2 linked regions of the Arabidopsis thaliana genome follow. The protein of the gene in region 2 interacts with the protein of the main gene of each other region in a pairwise test. Each region holds a gene or a part of one and is shown on either strand. Other genes may lie near its edges. The genes, in order: ULT1 and KAN2.

What was found.
Region 1: the proteins of KAN2 (region 2) and ULT1 interact in a two-hybrid assay, tested with the Arabidopsis thaliana proteins (one study listed by BioGRID).

Annotation. Positions count from the first base shown.
Region 1 is NC_003075.7:13,974,763-13,989,077, reverse strand, and holds ULT1 (Developmental regulator, ULTRAPETALA), read right to left. Parts: upstream 4,056-14,315; 5' UTR 3,326-4,055; coding exon 3,039-3,325; intron 2,631-3,038; coding exon 2,286-2,630; intron 2,203-2,285; coding exon 2,028-2,202; 3' UTR 1,636-2,027; downstream 1-1,635. Other genes in the region: AT4G28200 (U3 small nucleolar RNA-associated-like protein), read left to right, coding at 150-590, 668-840, 915-1,098, 1,190-1,270; AT4G28180 (uncharacterized protein), read left to right, coding at 5,397-6,167; AT4G28170 (uncharacterized protein), read right to left, coding at 6,503-6,607, 7,117-7,443; AT4G28160 (hydroxyproline-rich glycoprotein family protein), read right to left, coding at 8,353-8,688; AT4G28150 (hypothetical protein (DUF789)), read left to right, coding at 10,166-10,249, 10,321-10,541, 10,626-10,806, 10,891-10,976, 11,064-11,155, 11,243-11,436; AT4G28140 (Integrase-type DNA-binding superfamily protein), read left to right, coding at 13,295-14,173. UniProt on the Arabidopsis thaliana protein: Putative transcription factor that acts as a key negative regulator of cell accumulation in shoot and floral meristems. Negatively regulates the size of the WUSCHEL (WUS)-expressing organizing center in inflorescence meristems.
Region 2 is NC_003070.9:11,621,138-11,638,040, reverse strand, and holds KAN2 (Homeodomain-like superfamily protein), read left to right. Parts: upstream 1-7,295; 5' UTR 7,296-7,685; coding exon 7,686-8,397; intron 8,398-8,467; exon of another isoform or gene 8,468-8,493; coding exon 8,494-8,570; intron 8,571-9,999; coding exon 10,000-10,045; intron 10,046-10,176; coding exon 10,177-10,321; intron 10,322-11,254; coding exon 11,255-11,315; coding exon of another isoform or gene 11,316-11,375; exon of another isoform or gene 11,376-12,033; coding exon 12,034-12,159; 3' UTR 12,160-12,425; downstream 12,426-16,903. UniProt on the Arabidopsis thaliana protein: Probable transcription factor that regulates lateral organ polarity. Promotes abaxial cell fate during lateral organd formation. Functions with KAN1 in the specification of polarity of the ovule outer integument.

The sequences.
Region 1 (14,315 bases), on a different chromosome or scaffold from region 2:
TGTCGGAGAGGACAGGTGGAACATTGGTTATGGGGGGGCTTTTCTTTAGGACTATACTAACTTGCTTTACCACAATCTGTTTCGGCTTAGTAGTAGAAACTAGAAAGTACAATATCTGATAGGTCTTAAATCTTGTCCCCTGAATGCAGGTTTTTGAAGAAGGCTTGCAAACTGTTACGTCAAGTTCTATGTTTGAGATTTATATAAATTTTCTGATGGAGGCTATTGTACAGTCAAACGGCGACGAGAATGAAATCTCCTCTTTGTCTAATCCGATCATTTCACATATCATAAACGTGTACCAAAAGGCTGATGAAACTGGCTGTTTGACTGAAGAGCTTGCTGATGAATATGTTTCTCTGTACTTGAAACTGGAAAAGACTCATGAAGCTCAGAAGCTAGCAGAAAAGCTCTGCTCTGAAAAATTTGCTGGATCAGCTAAGTTGTGGCTTTCAAGAGTTTCCATTGAAATAAGATCACTTTCAGAGAACTCATCTCCTAGTAAAGCAGATTTTCAGACAGTCTTTGAGCTCCTTTCAAATGCTTTGAGGAAAGTACCGATCTCAGAATCTGAGAGCTTGTGGCTAATGGTATGTGACTAATATATTTTCTAGACAATACACTAGTTTGTTAAGACTACACTAATAAAATGCTTATTGTATTGCAGGCTTTTAATTTCTTTGCTCATCAGCGAACTTATTTGGACAAACTTGTAGAGATGTCCATCCTATCAGCAACCAAAAGCCATGGGAGCGACCATGTGTTTTCTCTTGCTTCCACAGTGGTGAAATTTGTTCTTGAAACAAAAGGGGCCCACAGTGCGAGGAAGATATACAAGAGGTGAGTCACTACTCCTCCAGTCCCTTGAGTCACACATGGACTTTATTCTCACCACTGTTACCGTAAAACTGCAGGTTCTTGGCTCTTCCTGGTCCCAGTCTTGTTCTATACAAAGGTTGCATTGAAATAGAGACCAACCTCATATCAGTAGGTGATAAAGATGGTCTCAGTAATGCCCGGAAGCTGTATGATTCTGCTGTTGCAAGTTACGGTCAAGACGTGGAGCTGTGGAAGAATTACTACTCATTGGAGACAAAGGTAAAGTGGATTCTTAATACCCTGACCAAAACCAATACTATGACTTAGTGTCAAGTATGCTAACTGACAATCTTTCTGATGTTTATTGCAGCTGGGAACATCAGAGACAGCCAATGGAGTGTATTGGCGTGCGAGAAAGACTCTGAATGAATCCGCGGATTTCATAGTTTGATCTCTGATTTATAGGTAGTCTAGTATGTATGATGAAGGAAACACTATGTTTGCCTCGTATTTGTGGATGCAGGTTTCAGTTATGTGATCCTTAAGATATGAATTTTGGTTGTAACAGAACAGGAGTCGATGTACTACTTTATGAGTCTAGTTATACTCTAAAACACTTTTTTGATACAAAAACATGTTGAAGTTCATACATGCCTCTACGTCTTTGGTTTCACGTTTCACATGTTTCACATGTTTCTGATGAATTTATTCTCGTATCCTCTTTACCTGGTGACGACTTGGTCTTTATGATTCTAATGTTTGTTGTTGATAATAAAAGTATACATCACTTAAGGGATCCCATATGGTTACTGTGTTCAAAACAAGACGTCAGGGCTTTTTGGGTATTAAGAAAATGTCTCTTTCCATGTCCCATCTCCTAAATGGCTAAATCACAGACCGAGTAGCTGTGCCATTGACAACTTCGTCTCACAAAGCTGTCAACAGCTAATAAAATAAAGAGTAACAACAAACTATTAATAACACTTTTCCCTGCCACTAGCCAAAAATCTAGACATGCACTAAACTCAGGCATGCTCGTCTGCATGTTCTTCTTGGAAATCAACTTTTTCTACTTTTTTTTCAATTGCTCCATTCACAACCCATAGATAAGATAATTAACTGTTTGGAGTTTTAGAATAAGTTATTAAATGCAACGAACAAAGTCTGAGACAGACATTTTTTTTTCTTTTCTTAATGGACTGCCTTCTTCAAGCTTTGACATTGCTGGTGAAGTCGACACAAGTCTGGCAAGTACACTCAGAGAAACGGCATAACTCGCAGCCAAAACAGACGCAGGAAGTGCAGCCTTTGCAACTAGGTGAACGTGTGCACCCTCTGTACACCTTCCTGCTCCCTCTCTCTTCTTCCTCCTCACATGTTATCCTACGACCACCACACCATTCATTGATATAATACATCATTTGCATCAAACTTAAGTACATACAAGGACAACAAAAGACACCTACTTGTCGTATGGGAAATCTGAGCATTTCCAGTTTGGATCACCCATTGCATTGTGGTGCAAGCGGCATTCGTCTCTGCTCCTCAGCCTGAACCTCCTCTCTTTACCACAATCGTTACACCCAACAAACTCATCTCTATGGCAAACTTTGGCACCTTGTGATCTGTTTGATCTACTGCACTTCTTTGATGATTCATTGTAGTACTTGAGCAATACTGTCTTTGACAATGGAACCTTTTCGCCCCCAATGATAACCCACACATTGTTTTTCCACTTCCTTGCCGTTTCTCTTCCAGAATGCTTCTCGAATGCAGCTGGTGTCAACTTGTCTAGCATCATACAATCAAAACTGTTCAAGTCAGTCACTTTTACTTTCAAAGAGAGCTCTAAATGAGCATCTATACCAAATAAGCTAGAGATGGAATTGTTAGCTACAAGATACCACAAGAACTAGGTTGCATCAAACTTTGACATACACGTACAGCTAAGCGAGACATATCATTTGTCAATAAAGCTACCACTTGGCCAGTAACAAAGAGACGCATTACCATTTACAGATAAACAGACAGCCTAAAACATTACTGTGGCAAATCAAGTCATTTCATTTTCTACAAGAACGGATCTAGCTAGCATACACTAAGACTCATTGATAAATATGTAATCATGCTAAAGACCCTAGCTTTACCAGCCCAATGTGATAGTAGCTAGACAGAGACAAACGTTTAATCTCACACACATTCACATGTAACATGCACACAAATCAAAACCCATTTTCCCAAAAGCATCAGAAAGACACGAGAAAGAGACAGTAGAGACAAAAAAAGAGAGACCTTCATCGCAACCAGGTGTGCATTCGCAGGTGATTTCAAGGTCACCGGTGGGGAAAACCCTAAGTCTAGCAACAGCATCGCCGTATCGGTGACTGGTACAACCACACATGACCTCAACGTAATCGCCACCAACATTGACCCCACTCATCTCTTGTAGCTCCTCTTGCTTAAACAACATGGACCCACATTGCATCTCTCCCTCATTGTTCGCCATCACTCTCTCTCTGAGATTTTCTCCTTATAGCGTATGAGGAGAATGAGAAGAGAGAGAGAAGGAAGAGGAAGAGGAAGAGGGTAGAATTAGGAGATGAGAGAAGAAGGAAAGGCCTCGTTTTGGGGTATAAAAGGAAAGCCCTAAAGGAGCACGCATCTCAAAAGCCGTAAGAGAGATCTGATATCAAAGCAAAAGCTTATTAAGGGCTTTTCGGGAGAAGAGAAGAGAGAGAAATAAATTAGAAAGAGAGCTCTTTTAGTTTAGCCTCTCTTTGGCCTTCTTGTGGTCTTGTGGTTATAGTAAGTAACAAAGAAACTCTCTTATACAAACAAAACAAAAAGGATGCGAATTAGCTGGCCAACAAAACAAAACTCGTGGGGGCATGGGACCTCTCCATTATATTAATGTTTATATACAACTATGTTATAGTATGTATCACCTACATAACATTGTATTGTATATAGGGAAGAGAGAGAGAATTTCTATGGTTGATAAGAGGAGCAGGAACAGAGGCGGTGGGTGAGAGGCTTTTGATAAGACATAAGAGAGAAGAAGTTGAGGAATAGGGTTGTGTCAATTGTTTCAGGTTCCTCTTTGGTTTTATAATGTCATAACTCCTTTTTCTATTTCTTGTACTTACTTCTTTTCAAGAAGTTCTTGATTTTGTAATTTTCAAAGGTCCTTTTTTTTTCCTTTGAGGTTCTGCAAATTCTTGGCTCTTCCCTTTCACCAGGATTCATTGGTTACCGAGTCATTTCACCACCACACCTATTGGCTATTTTTTTATATAAAATAAAAGTTGAAGAAATATATAAAGGTTGGTTTGTTTAATTGTTAAAAGAAAAGGTTTAATCAACTAGTTGTCTATAAAACAACTAGTAACCAAGTACATGACGACGACGTCATTGACATCTATGCCTGTTAGGTATTCTGCAATGCGCTCAAACCCCAAAGTCATATCTCTATATTTGTAGCTATATGTGTTCGAGGAACTCATTTTTTTAATACGGATGAGGATACTAGTGTTGTATGTAGACCATATGATTTATATATGGTATATTTGTTGTTGTTGTTATCTTAAGTACATACACAATGGATGGGTTGCAAAACAAAAACAAAAAGTACATAATGGATAAATGAGAATTAAAGAAAATGTCGCCAGTTTTTTTTTTTGAAGAAAGTGAAATAATTATGTCAACATCTTTACAGAGACATGAATATGAATAAGTTGTCAACACAATTTTTGTATAACAACATCTTTACTTTGAACTTTAAAAACTCTCTTTCCTCCTAGTTGTTCCCAAGAAACTGAAAAAAAGAGTAGCGGATGGGAGTGAACTTATGGATTCAAAACATTTATTATGGGCTTGGGGTTTAGAAGTTTACGAGCCTTGGCCCCTTTCTGATTTCTACTCAAAGTTTTGTCATGTTTTTAAACTTCTCATATTTTGTTTTTGTTTTTAAGATGGTGGTTATAAATATTCGAATATCAAGTTTGCAGCAACGATGTTAGGTTCTTTCCACTTCAAGTTTTATTTAACACAAAACCAACTAAAGATGAAAAAGTAGCTTGCTCAACGCGTTCTTATTCAACAATGAGGTAAATGCAACATAGTGGATGGATGATGAGCTAAAAAATGATGGTCAGTTCTTATCTTCAACTACATTTTTGACGACCAAAAGGAAGATGTTGGTAGTATAAGTATTAAGCATTTTACTTACTGTCGTTACATGTCCGGTGTCCCTGTCCAAGGCAATCGGCAGTTGTGTGTTGAAATTATCCCAACGATGATGGGTCGCTATCTAACGAGATATTTGTCCATCCGCATAATTTTCTTTTGAATATTTTAAAGAAAATCAAACACTAGCGTTTTGTCTTTGAAGATATGAATGAATGAGACAAATATCAGATTCTTTATCAAAGTGGATAAAACAAAAGAGCATAATCGAGCCCATAGTGAATATGGGCCAACATGAGAAAGAGGCCCATTAAAGTTGACAAGTATATGACTCGCGACTCTCGAGAGAGCAGAGTGAGAGAGAGAGAGGAATTAGCAAAAGTAGAAAGAAAATGGGATGCTGCTTCAGCGCCGGAAAAGTCACAGCTCCACCAGTCGCCGCCGCTCAAATTCCTCCACCCCTCGAAGAAGAATCCGTCAAAGAAGTCGTTGTTCAATCAGTCTCTGTCTCCGTCCCCATACCCATCTCCGTCCCTGTCCCAGTCCCCGACCTCGTTCCTTCCGCACCAACAGTCTCAGATTCAGAAGCTCAAGTTCCTCTTCCTCTCTCACCTCCAGCTCCGGAGATCTCTCACAGCAAGTCCGACATTTGCAGCGTCTCTGTCTCTCACAGCTACTCCACTGCCACAACTGCTACCGCTGCGTCCATCCTCGAAGACGATGCTCTCAGCAAACCTCACCGTCCTCCTCCTCCTTCTTCTTCCACCTCTCGCCGTAACAGGCCTGACAGAGTCCTCAGATCTCCGGCAGAACGACATTCTCCTCAGGGGAAGCAGCTCCGTCCTAGGTTAGTCCGAGAGAGACAGTCTCGTCAACCAAACCCTACTCACAACCGGCGAAATGTGGATTCGGGTCCACTCCCACGGAGCGGGTTATCGGATAATCCGAGGCGTCGCTCACAGTCTCCAGCCACTCGTGCCCCGAGTTCTGCAAGAAGAAGCCCCATGAAGAAACGAGTAGGAGCTCCGGAGAAAGACGGAGCAACAGAGGTGAAGAAGAAGGAAGAAGAAACGGAGAAAGTAACTGCTGAGGTAAAGAAGGAAGAAGATGTAACAGCTGTGAGAGACCCTGAAGTGTCCATGGAATGCTTCATCTTTCTCTGATGATCTCTTCTCCTTTCATCATTATTAACTCTGATGTGATTGATTGTTTTTTTTCTTTCCCTTTTTTTGATTTGTAAATTGCGGAATGTATAATTATTAACCAAATCTTATGCGGATCTTCGTTTTTGGTTTGTTTATTGTGGACTCGTAAAGTAAAAGGCAAGCCTACGCAACAACGCTCACAAATTCCATGGCTTTTTATTTTATGGAGATTGCTGCTCTTTTGCTATGGGATAAGCAGACACAAACAGAGAAACACTGTTCTGTTTAACAACACTTGACTACATAAACACTTGTCTGATAAAAAGTCCTACTTAATGAGATGAAAGAAGGTTTCAGAAAGAGCTTGATGATGATGAGGGAGGACATGGCTGAGCAATGAACGTTGGGACATCTTCTCCAGGCATCAACACCGATATCTCTCTTTTACACACATCCATCTGCAAATAAACAACACAAGATTATACATGACATCATCATCTCACAAAAGACAACTAGTGTGTCGACAAATAGGTAGTGAATTCCTCTAAACATATCTTATTTTCTACTCTGCTTATATTCAAACCTCGTTGCATGAATCAAGGGGTTTTGTATCCCCATAAAATAATACATTTAATGTAATCCTGTTTTGGACTTTGCACCATTTTTCAAAGATACGACAAAAGAGCTTCCTCTAGCATAAACCCTGGTAAATCATGATCCTGACCGATAGACTTCATTAAACTTAATAACTTATACGCATTGGCAGGTTTATTTCATCTTAATCTCACCACCCAACAAAAACAAGCATAGTTATGAATCACAAATGTTTGATGATCACAACCTCATTTAGATGCAAATTCCAAGTGAATCAGAATGTTCACTTGAGTTAAAAGACTAAGTAAAAAAACAACAGAACAAAAAACGTAGGCAAAAATATAAAAGCAAATAGAGAGGAGATGTTATGAACCTTGGGGGAAGCAAAAGGAGGAAACTTTTGGTCGAGAGGTGGTGATGGAGTTGGTTTAACGAACATGAACCTCTCAAAAAAAGCAATTAAGAGGAAGATAGCAATCAAAACTCCGGTCGCAACCAAACCAAATGGCACCGCATTCACCGAGCTCTCAAAACGTCCTTGACCTTCTTCGTCCGCAGCTAAAGGACCCGCCGTTCCAAACCTTCTATGGTCGTGGCTGCTCATTTGTAACTGGAAAGAGACTTGTGAAACAGAGGAACAAGATGTAGAAAAAGATCGTTTCATTGCCCAAGTTCCCACTTTTAGTTGACTAGTCAACATTACGTACGTAGTTTGGGCTTTTCTCTTTATTGGGCCTATGGTCCCAAAATGGGCCTACCTTGCTCAAGTTATAATAGTATCTCAGAGGGAAAAAACACGAACGACGAATCGATCGGAGAAGAAGAGCAATCTCGGAATCCCGCGAAAACTTGATCGGCGTATTGGTCACGGGGACTACAATGGCGAAGATTGAACCCATTGATGAGGACGAGTCAGAGGACAAGAAGAAGACGAAGATGAAAAACCGAAACCATGGATCCACGAACTTCTTCGTGTTCGTTGATTATCTTTTCCTCTTTATATTTTTCTGCTTTCTTTGTTATATCATCTTCAAGGTATTGGGTGTTTGAACGAACCTTCATCGATTTGGTTTTTGGTCATGGTGATCGTTTTTTCCAATTCGCTATGGATAGACAGAAACTTCAATTCCAATAGACTTTTCCAAGACATCTCTTTGTCCATTATCATCGCATTGTTTTAGAAGTTTCCAAATTTGATTTGTTAATACATCGTAGTTGTCGTTGGTTTTGTTAATGCTAAATGCTAATGCTGAGATTACTTTGAAACTTTGAGATTTTACATATCTTGACAAAATTTCAGACTTTGTAAAGAGAGTTTCTCTTTTGACTCAATCATGGCAATAATGATTCAATTGAAGAGTTTCTACATATTTCTACTCTTTTGTGACTCAATACATTTGCAGCAATGTGAGTCATTACATTTTATTTGGAAATATTATTTTTAGATAGTATGTAAGCAAAAGCTCTGGAATTTATTCAATATCCTCTTAAGTATATATAGAGAGAGATCATGAAGATATATGACTATGATGAAATGACTAGTATACTTGTTATGTGAACCAGAATTGAATACCCTTCTGCATCTAGCAAAAGCTTATTTGTTGACAGGTCATGGTTGTGGCACTGGTGGAACTTCATCTTCTCCTGAACTCGGACTGCGGGCTTTATTACTAGGAGTTCCATTTGAAGTGGCTGGGGCAACAGCAAGGGGATCTTTGTAAGGAAGGAATGGCAGCTTAGGTGTGGGAGGTAGCAAGAACCTTCCAAAACCAGGAATGAGACTAGATGGTTGAGGCACCATGTTTACAGGAAAGTCTGAATGTTTGCTCTCACTGGGAGTGGGGGAAATGGGAATGTAACGCATTCCGGTTACTTCCTCTGTACATCCAAGAATCAGGCTTACCAGAACAATTGTGGCTGTCAGATTTTGCAGAGTATAAGCCATTGTTGTGTTAGTTGAGGATAAAAGGTAAGAGCTTGAATGTGTGGTTTGTGGAGGGAAGATGGAAGAGATAGTGTGTGTAATATATAGAGTAGAGTGAAATAGTTAAAGCTAATTATGGGTACATTAAACGAACATAAACAAAGTGCTTTATTTACTAAAGAGAGAGAGCCTACAAAGTCTGGTAGCATCTATGGTATTGGCGGTGAATTATTGCATGATGATCAGTCATAACATTTGCCACACATGTCTAATTAGTAATTTTGGTTGTGATGGGCTTTTGTGCAACGAGGTCTTTGTCTTCTCTCTCACTTTTCTTTTATTATTTAAAATCCTACTTTCTTCTCATATTCAAACCGTGAATTCTGCAGGTTTATTTGGCTTCACATACAAGTAACAGAAAAACCGATGAAGAAGAAGTCAGCGAGAGACGACGGCTTCCACTTTGAAAGAGTTTGATTTCTTTTACTTTCTCTTTATTCTTTACGAAGTTGGTAAAACATATTTGACCATTTCTTGAGTTTTCTTCTCCGATCAATCTTTTGATAATGTTTTAATAATTACATTTACGTGACTAGCGGCATATTCTACAGTTGTCTGATAGAAATTTGTAAGAAATCCATAAAAGTCAAAGAGTGTTTCCGTACTTTTATTATCCCCATGTCGTCGTACTATTTGAATGTGTCAAACTTCTATAGTAGATATTTAGTTTAACTTGGATTACAACATTGCCGACTGATCCTGTCACACATGTCCTTTTATGTTAATGATTCTTTTAAACCATATGAATTATAATATGTAAACAAAAAAGTCATTGACCCAGTTTCTCTTGAAATCTTGTTATATGTGATCGACCTAGTTTCTCTTCTTTCAAGATGTATCCAAAAGAAGGAGACTTTGTATTGGGAGATGTCATCATCTAAGACTTAGGAATAATAGCTCTGTTTTGTTGTGTTGTTCACGAACTATGCAAAATGAAGATATTAAGAAGCCATAACGTTTTATACTAAACCCAAACAAACAAAACTCAATCTCATCCGACAAAGTTAGAGAAACGAAACTATATTTTATTAAATGAAAATGAAAATAAATGGAGAAGGTGGAGAGTTGTGAGAAAGACAGGTGAATCTACCAATAATCTCCTGCCTTAGAAGAATGGGTCTCATGGAGTTTGGTTGATTATATAAACCTATTTCCTTACTTTCTTTTATCTCAAAGTAGATACAATTTTACTTGTTTTTTTTCTCATTGCTCAAAACAGAGTTCCGTTGGAGTTTTCTTTAAAAAGTTTGTCCCTTTTCGTTCAATCTTTCCCTGTTTCTGACATTGCCGTGAAAGTCTCAAATGCTCGTCTAATAAAGCTAACACTTTTGTCCGAAAACTAAGCTCTTTGAAACGTCAGGGAAAGAGAATCCCGCAATACTCTCTCCTCTCTCTTTTTTTTTTTTTTCTGGGTCGAAGTTTGGTTCTTTGTTGGATAATGATGGTTTTTGACAGTGAATCTAACCTAGACCGATTCTTACGCTGCACTACACCGATTGTGCCTGCCTATTCCCTCCCAAAGGTTTACGCCTTTTTCTTTTTCTTAAAACAATTCTCTGAATTTAGGATCTGAAACTGTGTGTTTTTTGGCAGACACAGATCAAGAACCTTAATCCTCTATGGTATCCGTTGGAGAGCCAGAGCGTCGAGTATTTCAGGTTGGGAGATTTTTGGGATTGTTTCGACGAGTGGAGTGCTTACGGTGCAGGTGTCCCCATTGTATCGGAAACGGGCGAAACATTGGTCCAATACTATGTTCCTTACCTCTCTGCAATCCAGATTTTCACCTCTCATTCTGTTATCAATACTCTTAGGTAATGATCATTATGCTGCCATTTTCATAAACACAAGCATATATTCAACAATCTAACATGTCGCTGCGATGAATGATGATTTAGGGAGGAGACAGAATCAGGGGATTCAGGGAGCGAGTCGTGTAGCGAGGAGTGGAGATGGGAAGGATGTTCTTCGTCTGAAGAAGGGTTTGATCATCAAGAACCTCTCGATCGCCTCGGTTACTCTTACTTGCAGTATTTCGAGAGATGTACACCTTACTCTAGAGTCCCTCTCATGGATAAGGTTTGTTCCCCATTCTTGGAGTTTGATTCCAGAAGCACTTTCTTTCATTGTTTTATGATTCCATAAGTCTCTGTCTACTTTCAGATCAAAGAGTTGGGAGAAAGATACGTAGGGTTGAGGTCATTGAGGAGTGTTGATCTGTCTCCTGCGAGTTGGATGGCTGTTGCTTGGTCTGCCTTTTCTTCTTTTTCTTGTTTCAGAAAACAAAGTTAAGGTTAATGTAGTAAAATGGTGACGATGTTTGATTGTATGTGTAGGTATCCAATCTATCACATTCCCATGAATAGAAGCATAAAAGACTTGTCTACTTGCTTCCTCACTTACCACACGCTTTCTTCATCTTTCCAAGGTGCATTTTCACTTTCCTCTTGGAAGTGTGTATTAATGTATTAGTACATTCATTCCCCATTTCTAAAGTCCCTTGGCATTGGAACAGATGTAAAAAGGGAAGAGGAGAAGGAGAGGATAAGTGTGAGTGCATTTGGGATGGCCACTTACAAGATGCAAGGGAGGCTATGGGATAATGATAGATTGCTTTGCTTTTTGAGCGTAGCAGATTCTTGGCTAAAGCAGCTAAGGGTCCACCACCATGACTTCACCTACTTCACCACTACTACTCATTATCTTTGATATATGTAGTGTTTTAGATCATTACTTGGTTAACAGTCTATTTAGCTTTGTTGTTTAAGAGTAGCACATATCAATAATGTTGGATTGTTGTTACTTGGGACTCTTTGGGAAGGATAGGTACTGACTTTTTCTTCACAAGACTTTTATATCATAAATTTAGTTTGGGGTCAGATTGATGATGATGGGCTCAATACATTTATTCTTTTCTAATGTTTTGTGGCTTTCTGTTTGTACAAACGCACGTTCTCTTGATTTTGGTATCCTTCTCTTTTTAACAATTTTCTAAATTTCATAACAAAAAAGAAGAAGATATATACAGAGATATATATTGATTTACATAAAAGATTATCACAAAAATCTCTAGAACTTTCTACATGATATTTAGATATATTTATGTTACAATTATCTCAAATTTAGTTTCTTAGCCTCTAATATAATATTCTGATATTATGTACTTACTAGGAATTATTTATGGTGTTTTAGATTGTTTCTGAAGATACCTCTTAAAATTGGATCATGTTTTAGGCTTCTTTCGACTTTTGTCCAAATTTGATAAATTGGATCATTGGCCCAAAATAAAGTTGGTTCGTCTTTTTTATGCTCACCCCTAACTAAAATTACACCAAAAAAACTATACTGTTTCTAAACATTATCACATTATAGTATTATACACAACAATATTAACTCATAAAATAAAAAGAATAAATGTGTGCCTTAATATTCACGAATTTTCTTAAGAATAATACTCTTATAGAGATTTTAGTAGATTTTCTTCTGCACCCATCTTCTTTTTTGCCACTAGAAAAAGTTACATAAAAACTGTAAGTTGATAAATAAATAAAACTGTAAATTCCAACAATTAGTTTGGATTTTCCACCTGAAATCTTTATAGACTATGTTTATTCCTCACAATAAATAGAAGATATGAAGAATAACATCACGCATAGTCGATATGCACGTGAGATAATATGTTGAGATTTAGTTACCAAAAAAGAATGATTTTGTCTGAGAAATGAAATTCCTCTAGTTGTGAATTTTTCAAACTTGGTCGGTCTTGTGAGTTGAGTATCTTTTTGAGGGGAGGTGGGAATAATAATAAGCAAAAATATCTTAAAAAAAAGCGAAAGCTGAGTTTGACCAATCACCGACCCGGAAGATTGAAACTATAATTAGTACTACGTTTGGTTGTCATCAAAATGGTCATTCTTATGGTTATGGGATATTATCCTTTGCCGCGGCTAGCCGACCATTACACCAACATCATTTTTTTTTGTCTCCATTCAATTTGCATAAACCTCTTAAATTATAGATGTTTTTTACAGTCTAATCTTATCTTTTAACTTTGTAAGTGGTGTCGCCTTACGAAAATTAAAGCTTGGAAAATAACTAAATAAAGTTGAAGGATATGAACTAATGAATGCCTTCACCGTCCAAAAAAACAGAGAATGCCACGTATTCGTACGGACGTTAATGTTTTCATCTCTGCGCGTTGTGTTTTTATGTGTCAATATCTCTCTATTTTTCAAATGCTCATTTTCTTAACTTTCTTATTGGCCAATGAATTGGAGTAAAAGCAAAGGAATAACCCCAAAAAGATAGTTTTGAATAGTCGTCAATAGATAGATGGGACATACAAATTACAAAAGCGGTTAGCAAAATCTTTCGTTGAAAAAAATAAATATCTAATTCTTGCCCTCATATATAAACCCATGTAGAGTCGTCTCTCTCTTACCAAATAAGAACAAAACAAGACATAATTTTCTCTGTTTTCCTAGCTCTCTCCTCTCAAATTCTTCCATTGCTCTCTGTTTTGGCAAATCGTGAACTGCCACGTCTTTAAGGCATCAGTGAAGCAAAGATGGACTTTGACGAGGAGCTAAATCTTTGTATTACGAAAGGTAAAAATGTTGATCATTCTTTTGGAGGAGAAGCTTCTTCCACGTCCCCAAGATCTATGAAGAAAATGAAGAGTCCTAGTCGTCCTAAACCCTATTTCCAATCCTCTTCTTCTCCTTATTCGTTAGAGGCTTTCCCTTTTTCTCTCGATCCAACACTTCAGAATCAGCAACAACAACTCGGATCATACGTTCCGGTACTTGAGCAACGACAAGACCCGACAATGCAAGGCCAGAAGCAAATGATCTCCTTTAGTCCTCAACAACAACAACAGCAGCAGCAGTATATGGCCCAGTACTGGAGTGACACATTGAATCTGAGTCCAAGAGGAAGAATGATGATGATGATGAGCCAAGAAGCTGTTCAACCTTACATCGCAACGAAGCTGTACAGAGGAGTGAGACAACGTCAATGGGGAAAATGGGTCGCAGAGATCCGTAAGCCACGAAGCAGGGCACGTCTTTGGCTTGGTACCTTTGATACAGCTGAAGAAGCTGCCATGGCCTACGACCGCCAAGCCTTCAAATTACGAGGCCACAGCGCAACACTGAATTTCCCGGAGCATTTTGTGAATAAGGAAAGCGAGCTGCATGATTCAAACTCGTCGGATCAGAAAGAACCTGAAACGCCACAGCCAAGCGAGGTTAACTTGGAGAGCAAGGAACTACCGGTGATTGATGTTGGGAGAGAGGAAGGTATGGCTGAGGCATGGTACAATGCCATTACATCGGGATGGGGTCCTGAAAGTCCTCTTTGGGATGATTTGGATAGTTCTCATCAGTTTTCATCAGAAAGCTCATCTTCTTCTCCTCTCTCTTGTCCTATGAGGCCTTTCTTTTGAAAAAGTTTATAAACCCACATTGTGTTGTAGGTTATAGTTTAGGGTTATGCTCATTGGCATTTGGATGGAGGCAATTTTTGTGATCTCCCATTCCACCACATATCAGTCATTATATGTGTCTACCTTTTCTCTGTATTTCTAT
Region 2 (16,903 bases):
GTACTTTTGACACACTAATAAAAAAGAAATTCATCGTTTAGAATTTTCATATGTGAGGAATAATATTGATCTTAGAATAATATCTTGTAATCACCAATAAAGTATATATGCATTTTTTTTAAAGGTATACGTGCATATGTTATTACTAAATCATTAATTTGGAATAGAAAACTTACAATCCCATGGTGTTTTTATTTTATGTGTGGATAGTAACCGCAAGGCTTTTACATATTTAGGTACATTTAAGTTCAAAAACTCTAAAAATAGCACTTTGTTGGGTTAATGGAGTTGGACACATTCTCCTGTAAGAAATAACGGTTTTGCTCTCGATTTTCCTCTTCTTCTTTCTTCTTCTTACTTCTTCTTTGCTTCTTTCTCTTCTTAATTTTCCCAGAAATTTTCAGTTTCGTCTTTATTTTTTTTTGTTTTTTATCACACACCCAATAATAATAAAATCTATACCGTAAGGATAGTACAAAAGGAACCCAAACAAAATAATTAAACCCAATAAATCCCAATTAAATTCGTTTTGATGAGTAAAATCTAAACCCTACCGAGAATATAAGGAACCCAAATGCTTCAATCATAGACATATATTGAATCAATTATGAATTTTAATTAAGAATCTAAATTATTTTGAGAACTTTGGATAGGGAGTTACTTGGATAAACTTGATCCAAGGAGTTATTTGAATCCCTTAAAGATGACAACATCTTATCAACAGAGACGGCCTTTTCTTTCTCACCCAAACTCTTATCTCTCGTAACAATTAATTTGGGATTATTTTGGAAATTACACTTAAAAGTTGATCTTAATTTCATAAGAACCCTAATTGCAAAATCAAATTCGAATCCAGATACAAACCAACGACAAATTGCACTATTGATTTCTTTAAAGGAAAATGAAGATCATGGCTTGCTTGGAGTGTTGCATCTTATCTGTAACAATAGTGAAAATGGAGACAAAAGAGAGAGAAAAGGGGTAAAATGGTCATTCAAATGAGAAAAAAGTACCTAATCCTATGAGAATATTGAAAAATGATATGGGAGACAATGACACAAAGTTTTTTGTGACGATCCCATAATTGATCCTAGTAATCACTATTATATATCAAAACATAAACAAAGAACAAAAAAATCGATAACGTGTTGTAAGAAAGAAATTCCTGATGGTAACTCTATATATAACTTATAAGTTATAAGTTATAATAATACATTATGTTTTAACAATTCATGTATAACATTACATATTTGTAATTTTTGACTAACTTGTTTTCTAATTATTTTCTTCCATTTGGTTTTCCAAATCAACAATGATTTCAAAAAATTAATGGTTTGACTTTACATAGAAAACTACCATAATAAAATTACATAATAATTATTAGAAACTAATACATTTTTACTATATATATTTGTTAACTTAATTATTTCAATTTTGTAATTTTTTTGTTTCAAAATTTTATCACTTACGTTTACCTTTATAGCTGCAAATATCATGAGATATCTCTACTAAAATATCTTAAACATCTTTTATTAAAAAAACAAGTTTTTCTACGGCCAAAATCGTATAAAATTCATAGAAAACATATTTTTCTACCGTTTTTCTACGAAAATAATTTATAAAAAATATTTCTTAGGAAATCAATATTGATAGAAATTTCGTAGAAAATCTCCTACTAAAACTTTTCGTAGAAAATCTCGTAAAAATTTTTGTAGAAAAATGAAAGGTATTTTTTCACCATGTTCTTACCAAAAGATTCATAAGAGAATATTTTCTACTATTATCCTACCAAATCTCTCCTACTAATTTTCTACAACTATTTTGGTACCTATGATTTTCCTACGAACTAAATTAAAATTAAAATTAGTTAAATAATTTTAATATGTGAAATTAAATAATTCTTATTTTCGAAAGTAGGAAAATGATATCTGAATTGTTTTTACTAATTGGAAAAAAACCTGTGTAGTGTAGTTTGTTTTATCAGTAGTGAATTGAATATTTGCACTTCAATATTATGTTAAAGTTGTGTAGATTATAATTTTCTTGGGGGGAAAATGATAGCGATGCCTAACTTTTTTTTTCATCTAGGTAATAATTATGTTTTGTTTTTATAAGTTGGTTTTCTTTAAACCTTTTATCACAAGTCCTTTGTGAAAAAATATTGTGAGAAAAGTGTTGATGTGAAACAAAAGTTAAGTTACTAAACAATTATGCGGGAAGAAGAGAGGTATATGTATCATGATGTAGACAGATTAACCTAATCAAAGAATAATGTTTGGGAAAAGATATTCTCATTTACTTAAAATATTATTAAATGGATACCAAAATTCAAAATGCACATTTATAATTGTATAAATAAAATTAAAGAAAAATAATATTCCACCTGAAAAGAGCCACCATTCAATGGGAACAAAATCTTTTGTTGAATGTACTATAAAGGTTGAAATTCAAAGAACATTACCAGAATGTTTTTTTTTTGTGAGGTATGATCACACCAAAGAATGAAATCAATTATTTTATTTTATTTTGTATAAGATAGTATTACCTAACAACCATCTTGATAATTCCTTTATTCGAAGAAAAAATAAAATATATTTACATACATATGTGGCATAGTGGTTGAGGTAGTCTTAAACAGTTAAACTTGTTAAACAAATAGAAGGTTGTATATAGAAGATATCAGAGTTGTATTATTGTTTTATAAGTACCAAAAAATGTTGATAAAAATATTTCTTTAAATGATTCTTAGTAAACACACTCTAAGTTACCTGGTTTATATTTGAAAAGAAAAGAAAAATAGTTTTCGTAACTCTTACCAATCAAACTTTTTATAATTATCTATGATAGTCTACTTTATTTGTTGGTAATCATATTTTCAAATCTACATGGCTAAAATCTTTGTGTATATCAACGTACGTTGTTAGAAAATTCAAAAAACTGATATTTATCATGTGAACTTGCGAAAAAAAGATCAATGTATTGGAAACGTTGAATATAAATTGTTTTTTTCAATATTTAATCTAATTACAGCTAATGAATTGGAATAATTTGATATGAACAGTCGAGAGTTGAAGTTAGAAAATAAAAATAGTGTATGTTTGTTTTATTATTCCATATTCAAATATTTGAAAATATGAAAATTTGAATGGTTCGTAGTGGTAGTGGTACTTATATATCGAAATTTTATTTAAAAGCTATTTGCTTTTTCACAATCCACCAAAATATAAGTATAAAATGAATTAACGAATGTTGTGATTGAAATATCCTAAATATGCTTAAATAGTGAAATGATGGTATATTGACTATTGAATATTTAAAATTATACTTCCCAAACTATAATGGTTTGTTTGATATTGTCAATTGTCATCACCGTAAGTTTTAAAATGTTCGAGCTTCGATGTGAAGCACTTATCACGTCGGGAACTCTTGTCATAGAATTCACTAGAATCATATTTATTCATTAACTTAATTAATTCCTTGAGTTCATTCATACATCAATAACAACCCTTGATCTAAGCACCAAACAAATTTTGATAGAGGGCTCTCACTTGAATGCTCTGTTGATATATAGGACACACCACATCTTGTGACATAACTGTGACAAAGCCCAAGATGTGTGGTGTCCTAGTTATTTGAAAGAAAAAAAAAGAAAAACTAGAAATCAAATAATATGAAAATTATGGTCTTCTAGCATGTAGAGAATATTAAAGTGTGATTTTGGATGTTCGATGTTAGAAACATTCCTGTCTCCATACTGAGTTTCCTGTGTAAATGAAAGGGGTCAAATTGCTTCAGAAAAGGATTGAAGCTCCAAGAAGGTCAAAAGTTGAGCATTGGTGGTTTAACTTATAAACTAAAACCTAATGTGCATACATAATTTGATGTATGGTAAGTTCTATGTGACATAGATTGTGGTTTGTCTTCCATAATTGCAGGACGGCTCTGAAATTTTGGGGGCAAATGTAAAAACAGTTGACGTTATTTCCAATGATTTGGAAAATTTGAAGCTTTTTACTATAGAATTAATTAATTTGGAAGCCTGATTGCAAATAATTTGATGATGTAGATTTTAGAATATTTTGGACGCTCAAAACAAATGTTTCACTAACTTTGCTCAAAACCAACCCTACATAATCTTTTAGAAAGGTGATTCATCTATCGTATTTCTCATAAGTCATAACCTATGTTTTGTTGGTCATGGTGTTTGAGATCACCATTTTAAGTTCGTCTCCAGCTTAATGTTTTGTTAAAGATTTCGACGGGATGGTTACATACTTATTACAGTTGGATTGATATCCAAGGTCTCCTATAAATTTTTTATTGTTTTGTATTCAAATGTAGAAATTATATTTATATGTATGTATAGATTTATTTTCTATATTTTAAAAATTTATCATCATACAAGAGCCACAAGGTTAATAGACTTAAATAATGTGTGCTTTTCTAGACAAGTATCTAGTTATATACATCCTCGAAGCATGTGTGTGTTTTATTAGACCGTAGTTCTAATTGCCGCATTGACTATTCAATAGCCAAATCCGTACCTAACTTACCTATATATTCATGTAATACGACTCTATATACATATTCGCAATTTCACATGCACTACTAAAGTTTATTATTTTTGTAAGAATTTGATTCTCCGTAATGGTTGCTGCTGCCATTAATGTTTCATAATTTTAAAAGTGAGGGAGGTTCTGCCACATTTAATGTTGTGAGATTTCTAAGCTCTCTCTATTTGCTTTCGCCTAACGATTTTGTAAGTAAAACCACATAACAGACTAAATAATTACCACATAACAGACTAAATAATGTTGTGAGATTTCTAAGCTCTCTCTACTTACCACATAACAGACTAAATAATTAGTGCAGCTACAATCTTTTATTTATATATAAGACTCGCGACATTATTTAAAAAATAAATTTGATTCCAATTTTAAAATAAAATCAATACTATTAAACATGGTTTATGTCTCTCTAAAGTTCATTTAAACATGGTTCATAAAATAACATGAACTATCAAACATGCATATATGGTTCGATATTAAAAGTACACCGGTTTTTGGGTTTGTTGGGAACCCTACCCAAAATCAAGAATCTAATAGTAATAGTTTAATAATTTGTCATTAATGTAGAATGCTTATAGTAATATTGCTTTGATTAATCAAAATGAAAATCAGCTATAGAAACATCTTTGTGAATTTCAAGAAAATTAAGATCAAATGTCGTTTTCTTATGGAGATTTCTATTCCCTATGGAGGTATCTTGCCGATCTCTATGCCTAAGTCATCGGCACTACTAACCATTATGTCACGATGATTTAATATATGGGTTAAACTGAACACATCCCTTATTTTAATCTCTAGTAATAAATTTGCAGGTATCCTTCAAATAACTTTTCGACAATATTTTAGAGTCAATCAAATATTGAAGCATTCAAATTTTGTTATTCAATGAACCTCTCTTTTATTCCATGTAGTGAGTGATGTGATTATTGGTTTCTTCATACTTTTTTGTAAATCAATATAGCTAAATTACTATTGTTTAAAATTAGGCATTTGATTGGGTTTGGACTTTTTTCTTTAAATATTTTGATTGTCCTTTTGACAAAGAACAACAATATTGGCTGTAATTAGAAGGTTTCAATCCTTTTTGTATGACATGCTATTAAATTTGGTTTTATGAACATGATACAAATTTCTACTAATTAATTTGAAGTTTCGAATGTAAACTTCATTTGTATATAGTTTGATTGTTTTGCATGCATTTTGTCAAATGTGACACCAAACAAACAATTTTTTTTTTAATCGTCTATATTCTATAAAAGCATTTCCATCAGTGAGATACTCTTTGGATTTCTCAAAAAAAAAATAGTATTTTAATAAATATTAGTTATATAAATAGATTTTACTTATAAAATAAAATTTGATCAATGGAGAATAAACAAGTGTCTTCGTAGGTTTCTCATAGTTTCTCACTTGAGAGACTTTCTTCACTCTATTTTTTACTTTTTATTTATATTTATTTTTATATTAGGTAGTTTTTTAATGAGAAATTAAAATTTCAATTATAACGTGTTGAAGTAAATAATATAAAACACGTGTAATACATAATATTTGTTTCGGTAAATGACCATAATAATAAATCAATTGAATTATTTCATACATTATTAATATTTTAGATTTTCAATTCAGCAGTATTTAGTAATAAATGGATTGGTTCAAACACTGGTTTATACCGTATATATATATATATGAGACTTTGGAATCAGTTATTAATTGTACTCGAGTAATTCACATTGGTCGCTATCGTTCATTGAGATATTCACTGTAGCAGTTGCAGAGTTTATGTTGGACTTGATTTGAACATCACTCTGAGGAAACAGATTATTCAAAAAACATGTGGTAAGGGTTTTTAATCATTAAGGTATAATTCAAGGAAAAAAAACATAGGGAGAAGAGAAAAGTGATAATCATGTGAAAGAGAGTCATACAAGCTAAAATAAGCAAACTTTGTTTTGTTCCTCTTTTTTTCCTTTTTCTCACTCTCACTTTTCATCTTTTTCTTTGTTCCTACTTTTTAATATTTGTGATTTAACCTTTATTAAAATTTTATTCTTCTTTTTGGAATGAATATAGGGTGTATAAAAAGGAGAAATCAACCTTGGGTTTCAGTTAAAAGCAAAGGATAGAGAGCGTGTGGGATGCTAAAGATAAACCATTCCAAAGTTTTCACCTTTCTATTCTTCTTCATGTGATGAATATTTTACTTAATTTATGTTTAGAAAAAGACATTCGAAGGAATTTTCATATGAAAATCACTTTATTACAAAATGAACATTTCGACTTTTCTTAGAACTTCGTAGGTCACTAATTTGCTTAACCTCTTACGGCCATCGCTAAAGAAATGATTAGAACAAAATCAGAAAACCATATAGAAGTGCCTAACCTCAATTTAAGCAATCCACTAATTATGAGACCAATATATTTTTAAAAATTCCATTTATTCAAATTTATTGGTTATAGTGAAGAAACAAAAAAAAGGGAGTGAAAAGATAAAATAAAAGGTGGAATGTAGACTAAGAAAAGAACAATAAAAATGGTTTGAAAACACAAATAAAGGATTTACTTTTCTCCTCCAAAGAAAACAAAAGAGTGCAAAGAAAGAAAGAAAAAAGAAAGCCTTATTTACCATTTACCACTTTTGTTTTTTTATTTTCAATTTCTTTCTCTTTTCTCTTTTCATTTTCTTTATCCCTTTGCTTTTCTTCCCCCTTTCTTAACCTAAGTTCCTCTAGCCCCCCATGTCCACACAAACACCTTCTCTCTCCTCTCTCTCACACACACTCAAGTGTCATTTTCTCACATATACTTCACACAAAAGAAACAACCATTCACTACATACTACCTTGTCATTGATTTTCTCTCTCCCTCTATATCTCTCAAAAATCTTTGCAAAATCTTCTTAACCTCAAACAATATAAACAACATTCTCAACAAAACCCAGAAATCTCTTCCTCAAATCCTCAATACCCTTTTCTATTTTCCTCCCTATACCCTTAATAAAAAAGGATATCTTTCTCTTTTTATCTTCTTTGTCCTAATTCAAGAAAACAAGAACTAGGGTTCATCATCTGTGGAAACCGACTGAAGAATCTCTTCAAGAAGAAGTTAAAGGTCTCTTTCATGGAGCTGTTTCCTGCTCAGCCCGATTTATCCTTACAAATAAGTCCACCAAACAGTAAACCATCATCGACATGGCAGAGAAGAAGATCAACAACAGATCAAGAAGATCATGAAGAACTCGATTTAGGGTTTTGGAGAAGAGCTCTTGATTCAAGAACATCTTCTCTCGTCTCTAATTCCACCTCAAAAACAATCAATCATCCATTCCAAGACCTCTCGCTCTCTAACATCTCTCATCATCAACAACAACAACAACATCATCATCCACAACTTCTCCCTAATTGCAACAGCTCTAACATCTTGACCTCTTTCCAATTTCCGACACAGCAGCAACAACAACACTTACAAGGGTTTCTTGCTCACGACCTTAATACTCACTTAAGACCAATAAGAGGAATACCACTTTACCACAACCCTCCTCCACATCATCATCCTCACCGTCCGCCACCGCCATGTTTCCCTTTCGACCCGTCGTCTCTAATACCCTCTTCCTCCACTTCCTCGCCGGCTCTAACCGGAAACAACAATAGCTTTAATACTAGTAGCGTTAGTAACCCTAATTACCACAATCATCATCACCAGACTCTAAACAGAGCCAGATTCATGCCAAGATTCCCAGCTAAACGAAGCATGAGAGCTCCTAGGATGCGATGGACCACCACTCTTCATGCCCGGTTCGTTCACGCCGTTGAATTACTCGGTGGCCATGAAAGTATGTCCCTTTAACCTTAAAGCTTATCTCTTTTTTCCATTTCTTAATTACCCTTTTTAACTAAACATGTTTTTGTTTTATTCACTTGCTAATTAGGAGCAACACCTAAATCAGTTCTTGAGCTCATGGATGTCAAAGATCTAACCTTGGCTCATGTTAAGTCCCATTTACAGGTAAATTGATTAACAGTATTGTTACAAATTCATCCATATTAAGTACATAATTAGATGGGAAGAAAAAGATAAATGTACATAATAAGTATGTAATTAGTTAATAATAATAATCTTCTTCTCGGGTATCGATGCATTTGACTCGGTGACTTCCTTAAATCAGAGTTCCACTCGAGTCAGAAGAGATCGAATCTTGTTTTCTTCTGAACCTTCCTTTTTTTATTCTTATCTTAATTAAATCCAATTTTGCATACCAATAATGCATTCCTTGGTTGCGTTACAGACAAAAGAAAAATGCATATAAACATTCCATACATATTTTATACAACAAAAAAAAAAAAAAAAAAAAAAACATTTTTCAAAATCCTCTTCTTCGTTTCTTCGTGTTAGATCTGATGGTCCTCATAGATAGACGATAGACAGTCTTCTTTTTGCAAGTCTAAAAAAAAAATTTCGTCTTGGAAGAATAAACTTGTCCTGTTACAAGTAAACCAAAAATTACTCAATATTACTATTACTGACACACATAGAATAGAAAGGTAGAGAGAGAAATAGAGAGATGGGGAAATTACGTAAGTGATTGTGCTAATTATTAGAAAAACAAAAATCTCCTAAGAATATCAATCAAAACATTAGTACTTTTGGTTTCTTATCATCCATTGTTTCTTGGGTTATAAACCAAAATTTAGACTTTGTTTCTGCGTAATCATATGTTTTATATATTTATCATCTATTAAGGATTACCTGATTATAGTTTCTGTAATGTATATGTAGATATTGTATATGCCTATAAGAACACAAAATCTTAGGACAATCTAATTAGGGATTATTTCTTAGTTTAAATGAATATATAGGTAGTAGGATTTTTTTTTAATAATAATAAATATAGACAGAAAGGGAGAGTACAAGAAACACCATCATTTCTCAATGATGAAATGGTTTTGGTCTTACACAGAGTCACAGTGAGAGAGAGAGAGAGAGAGGGTTTATTAACTTAACCATGGTTCCACTTCTCCATATGTTGAATGGGCTAGAATTTAACCATGGTTAGACACATAAATTCATGCATGGGTACATGAAAATCGCAAACTTCATTAATAATGTCAATTAATGCTTCTGTGTCCGAACAGTTTTATATTTTTCTTCTCGTTTTTTTTTTTATCTTCCAATGTGTCTGTGCATATATAATTATATATATAGAATAAAAATGTGTGTGTATATATGTTTCTTATTTTGAAAATTGGTTGGTACTATTCAACTGTGTCGGAAGACAACAGTACAATGGTCTCCTTGCTTTGGTCTCTTCTTCCTTTTCCATATAATTCGATACATGCATCTCTCTAATCTTTATATACGGATTTAGACGAATTATCATTTACTTTGGTCTCTTCTTAATTATATATTGATGCACATTTTTTTTTTATAATATCAGATGTACAGAACAGTGAAGACAACCGACAAAGCAGCAGCTTCGTCAGGTTAGTGTTAGAGAAATAATTCAGATTCTTTATGGGTCAAATTATTGGATATATATGATTTAATAATTAATTGAAATGTGATTCTGATAGAACCCTAATTTGTTTTTTTCTTTCTTCTTAATGTTATTCAGGACAATCTGATGTCTATGAAAATGGATCATCAGGAGATAATAACTCAGACGACTGGATGTTCGATATGAATAGAAAATCGAGAGATAGCGAGGAATTGACGAATCCTCTAGAGAAATCAAATGGTCTATGGACCAATTCTTCCGGGTACGTACATATATGTACGGTCTATCTATACATACTTCCCTAGCTAGATATAGATGATTTTTCCATCGTTACTATATATAACTAACTATATGGAATGTGGAATCTCGCTAAGCATGTGCATGCTTCTATATCTATATTAGCGTAGTTAAGAACTGGGTAATGTTTATGTTTCTGCTTTGTAGTCCTGTTTTGTCTCTTTCTCAGCCACAAACCCAATAGATCCGAGTTGAGACAAAACACATGATGGGTTAATCATCATGTGTTGCTCTCTCTCCACAGTCACAACAACACACACACACACATATATATATATATATATATATAATGATCTTACTTATATATATTATGAATATGTCGAATTAGTGGAAGAAACTTTTCCCCAAATAAAAAGCTAATTTCCAAAGTGATTCATTACATGAAAATCTTAGTAAAATCCTAAAATTTGTATGCATAAATCTAATGTATATATATAAAGTGAGTTTATTTTCCTAACTTAACAATAACAAAACGAAAACAAAAATAGATATACTACTTTAGACTTCAAATTATCTAGAGATATTTAAGTAAATTAAAGCTCTTTTAAAATGGTTAACACATGAACAAATGGGCAAACACATGGACAGGAGGAAAAGATTGATTTCTCAACTTTATACTAAAATAAAGTAATATATATGTCAGACTATAATATTAAATCGTTATCAATTTTGCTTACGTTAAACAAACAGCCATGCCAGTCGACAGAGATAAAAATAACTTTGTTATTACCAAAAGGAAAACACTTTGTTTTCTTTCGTCTTGTAATTTCTTATCTTCCTTTTCACTTTCTTCCTCTTTTTGTTTATTTCTTTGGTTAGTTTATTTTCATTTATTCATTTATGTAAAGCGGATATCATAAATATATCTCATATAACAAACTTTTGTTTGCTTTTGCAGAGAAGCACGTTTGCATGGGAAGTTAATCGATAATGTTGCAGAAATTATGCTACCTTCTGAGGTACGATACATCCCTTTCTACAAATATAACTATATATACGCGAATATGTTTTGTGTGTAGCATATGAACTATTATCAATTTAGTTATGCATTGTCGAAATCATTTCATTGCTAAGTCACCCGAAATCCTAAAAAGGGCTGCCACAAAAAGGGCTTTCATTAAAGTTTGCTTTAGGAATTTTCAAAAGCAAAAGGTATTTTCGCTATTTAGACACTATTCGAAAAAAAAAAAAAAAAACTAATCTCATTGACATTGACCAGGATGAGTTTTTGTTTTGACCTTTGACACGCATATATTGTGACTTGTGAAAGCTTAAGCCGTGAGGTGCGGTTATCTATGTTTGGCTTATAAGCAAATATGGGCAAAAGCAAAACCATGGCAGCTTCCATTGAACAATAAGAAATATAATTATGTATATATATTTGTGTCAATGTCAAACATTAGTCCATAGGACAATAAATAGGGTAAGCTTACATCTAATTAGAACTAATGTCTTAATTATGGATGATACAATATCAACCTTAAACCCTAGTTAAATGTTGAGATCACTCTTACTTAATGTTGCGTGAATTTCTGCACTTAATATTTTATTTATAAATTATTTACATTCACATGCTGATATCATATACAAGTACATATAAAAAAATGCAAACCATTTATACAATAGAAAATTTAGCTAGTTGGTTAATGATTTCTTTTTGGGGTTTAATTTCAACAGAAGGAACTAGATGGAAAGTGCTCAAGTTATGAGAGAATATCATCAGAAGAGATGAGCTCATCAAGCATCTCGGGAACAAGCCCTTTCAAGCCAAATCTTGAGTTTACTCTGGGTCGATCTCACTAAATTTATTGTTGTAGCTAGGTAGTAATTAATTAGTATCAATTAACTTATATTTTGGCTACTGACTAGTTTCGATATTCATATCAATTGAATAAGTTTTTTTTTTTTTTTAGCTTAAAATCTTAATGTCCTATCTTGGTCTTGGAACTTTGACACACACTGTTCTTTTTCCTTCTCTATTGAGAAGAGCTAGTGAAAGAATCAACTATTAGAGGCACAATAAATGTTCAGTACTCTTTGGTTGAACTTTTATTTTACAATCTGATAATAAAGATATATAAATATAGATAAAGATTTGCCAAAAAAAAATATATATAGATAAAGAATAATAATAGAGAAAAAGGAAAGACGTAAAAGAGAAAGAAAAAAAAGTAGAAAGAAAAAAAGAAAAGAGAGAAAAAGGTGTAAAAGAAAGAATGACAAAAGAGGACATGAATGAAAGAAAGCAAACATATTAAAGGAATGGGTAAAGTTGTAAGAAGAATATCTACTTTTTTTATACAAAAAGAAATGTTAATCAGTTTTGTTAAGAAAAGAAATGGACGTGAATGATAGATAATATATGATTAATGATTACCTTTATGATTGGCCTTAAGGTTTTAGAGTAGGTAGAAAGCATATGAACTGTCTATCACCATAAGCTTTTCGAAAAGATAATTAACTTATACAATAAAGCAAACCATATCTCTTTATTCTCGTAAAACAAATCTTGTATATGTTTTTAGGTCCAAAGTATAAATTTTGGGACTTGTTCTTGAAATATACTATATGGACGACGTACCACAAAAGTTCATTGAATATATGATAGGGAAAAAGTAAAAGACATTAAAGAGAAAAATAGAATAATTCTAATGTATAAGGTAGATTCCCACCAAAGAATATTTAGTTCATTGCTTTCACTTAGGTTTTTGATGTTTCCTTAGTCGTCAACACTCTATTCTCAGCATTTTGTCTTCCTCGAGCACACATAATTATATTAAGCATGACGATTGCCATCCATATGCGACAGTGAAAATGACCAACACCTAGCTGAGTAAATAGAGATAAAATAATTGCTAAATTGATATGGTGTTAGATTTGAATTGACGGTAGACGTTTGTTTTCAAAGTTTTCATTATCTAAATAAAGTTTACTATGTGTAATTTTATCATTTCGATACAAATACTAAAATTGGAAATAGAAATTCCATAGTTAAATATTCAAACAAAACTAAAATGATGATGATTTGTGCCTATATATTTTATATTTTGGGCTCCTTATATGTTTTTCACTCACTGATATTCGAAAATATATATGACTAATTTAAGTCTAGGTTAATTGGATAATAATATTATTTTGGTTGATATAAATTTTATTAGAAAATAATATTTACAAAGAGTAAAGAGCGTTTCTGTTATTTTTTAAAAAGAGTAAAAAAGCACTTTTCAACAAAATTAAATGGAAAATTTATGTTTTTCATACAACTAGACCGAAAATGTTTAACATTTGCATCCTGCAATAAAGATATCAGGTTGGTTTGGTTAGGACAACTAAGTCATGTTCAAAAGAATGATCGAATACTGGGTTAATTTGTTTTTAAAAGTTTTGGGCTAATCGAATAGACTGAGAAAATAATAATTGAATCGAACTTCAAACTAGGAGAAATCTGATCGAATGATAGACTAAGTTTAAATTTGATAGATGATCGGAGAACAAGTCATCAAAGAAAGGTTTTGAAAACTTGGCCAAGTGAGGATTGTATCAGAGCTCAATATCACAAATATGATTAATCTACTTACATAGTACTAACCGTTATCACATAATTATTAGACATTTTATTTGCAATTAGATAATCAATGAGCATTGCAATACAACTCCAATTAGTTCAGTACTAAACATCATCATCAATTCTCATTAGTTAGTTTTGTAAAGCTCATGAATGTTTGATTTAACCATTTTCAGTAATATTTTCAAAGCATGAAATGCATAAGGTTTAAAGTTTGAGTGAACAAATCAAAACTACCATTAATCACAACTTAAATAAATGATCTAACAAGAAGCAACATGGTGAGAGGAAAACTTTGGTTAAAAATGACTAAAAACTTGCTTAAAATAGGAAAAACTTTGGACTGGGTTAACCTAACCTATGACAAACCCGATCGAGTTCGTGTCTAAATAAGCTCTCGTGAAGGTGTAGCCGGTACATAAGATCATAGTAATAACTTTAAGTGAGAATTTAAGATAACTCTTACAAATGCTGACCGGAATGACCTAAACCTATCGCCAGTGAAAAAAAAGCAAACACAATTTACAATGTCATAATCAAATTTGAGCTAAACTCCACCGTGCCAAGGCCTCTTGCCGGATCGATGTTTATGACATTTTTTTTTGGGGGGACATTTTAAAATGTGATCGATGTTTAAGAATTCTAATATTATCTATTATATGATATTTTGTGTATATAGAATTGACATGAATATATCTCCGTATCAGTTGGTATTATTATAATTCTTAAATCTAGATGAATTTAATAGAATTCAACAAAATTTAGCTTCTATCTAAATGAATTTGGCGAAAATAAATTTTTGGGACACCATTTACTTCCTTAGTTACTATGTAAGATTTAACTATCATTGGGCAACTAATATGTACTCGACAAATGATCTACGAACTATTCATAAACCAAAATATAGATTGGAAAACTCAAAATCATTCAAATTCTTGAAGAAAATAACTAAGAATTTGACAATTGAAAGTATGGTTGTCTTCACATTGTATGGGTAGTCGCATTTGACAATTGAAACACGGCCTTGTGTCATTGTCATGTCACGTGCAACGTGAAACATCCCAAACATTATATATTTAAAATTATTATTATCGTTTTCAAGTTCCGAAAGCAAAACAGAATATAAAAGGCATGCAAAAGGTAGTAATCATTCACCAATAATTGCAACATACACCCACCCACTCATCAAAACTATTAAATGCTATCACATATACTTATTTTGCAAACAAAACTTATATTTATATAAGCTGCAATAGATTTACATTCTAAAAACTAGCTAATCATATAGTCAACACAAACTTTGATTAGTTTCTTTTACATGTATATAAACGTTCAAAGTTTTTGGTGCTAAGATGATGAATCATCTTATGATAATATGTATGCATATGTTAATGACATAAAGAGAGATGGCACAAATTAGTAGATCCATAAGAATCAGAAGGAGAATTATGGGAAAAAGAGAACAATTGGTCTTATTCTCTCTCCCTAGCTAAAAGTCTTTCATCTGTCCTTTCTCATTGGGCTACCCCAAAATTTATTGACTTTCCTCTTAAATTATTATCACTTTAATCATACAATTTCATAAAATAAAGTGTACTACTAAAGTTTGAAATTATACTTTTTGAGTCAAAAAAGAAAGTTTGCAATTATATTTAGCAACTCAATGACTAGTAACAATGTTGCCTAAAAATCGAAATCATCTCCCTTTGATAGCTAGAGATAACCAAATTTATGTATATTTAAGTAAACTCTTTTTTCCCTTGACATGAAGTAATAGTTACATGAGCTATATATTTTTGTTAAAAAGCTAAAAGAAATAAAACATTTTTCATATATGTAAATTGTAATAGTATAATTATATTTTGAGCTTGCTTCTGTCACTCTCTCTCTTTCTTCTCTGCGTTTGAGGCAAAGACTGAAACACTGGTCGAAATTATTTACTGTCGTACGAACAGAAGAGCACGAAGTCCACAGAATGTCAAAAGCATATATTATTAAACCATCATTACATTATCATTTCAACTTTGGATCTTTCGTACAAACACTCACTCATCCACGTGTCGTAATCATAACGGTTCGATTGTTGGCTCTCTGCTGCTCTGTCAGCCGTCAGATCCGATATTGCCAAATGTTGCAAAGGTGTTATACTGATAAACAAGAAAGTGACCAGTAAAGTTGACGCTCCTTGTTTTCACCCTTCAAGAGACATCTCTTTCTTATTCCTTTCTCTATTTTCTTTTCAATATATAGCCTGTAATTCCAAAAAGTACAAAAACAAGACTATTATGAGTTTGCATTTTGAATTTTTTGAACACTTTCTTCCTACATGTACAGTATCATTATATCTATTGTCAACACATGTATAATCTTATGCTATACAGTAGAAGAAGATAGGAACTATGAAACTAAATGTAAAAACAAACTTTTAACCAAGAAGTGTAAAACAAAACAAAAAAAAGTGAAAATTAAAGAGCAAAGGAAGAGACTATTTTCATGAAGTTTGCAGTGTTTAATTGAGTAGCTCGAGGAACTTTTTGCATGGGAAGAAGCTGTGTTGTGGGTCCTATCAACGTTAATTCAAACGTCAATGTGTGAAAAGATTTCATGAAACTATGGTATATATAATTTTTGCAGAATATTAATAAATTAATTCAGTAATGTCAATCAATTTACTAATATTTGACGTAGAGACATTGTTTCTTTAATTAATGTAATGAACTGATGATAGTTTAGTAGGTGTATAAAATTTCTGTAGAGTTTTTTTTGTATAAAGAAAAAAACAAGAGAAAAAGAAAAGAATAATGCAGAAAAGTGGAGAAGACAAATATAACAAAAATAAATTATTCTCTAAGAGGACAACGGATAATAAGGCGAAATTCTCGCGGGAACCAACGCCTCCCTCTTTCTCTCCCTTCCGTATTAAATAAACAGCCAAATTACATACCTACAAACACACCAAAATATACTCTCATACACATAAAT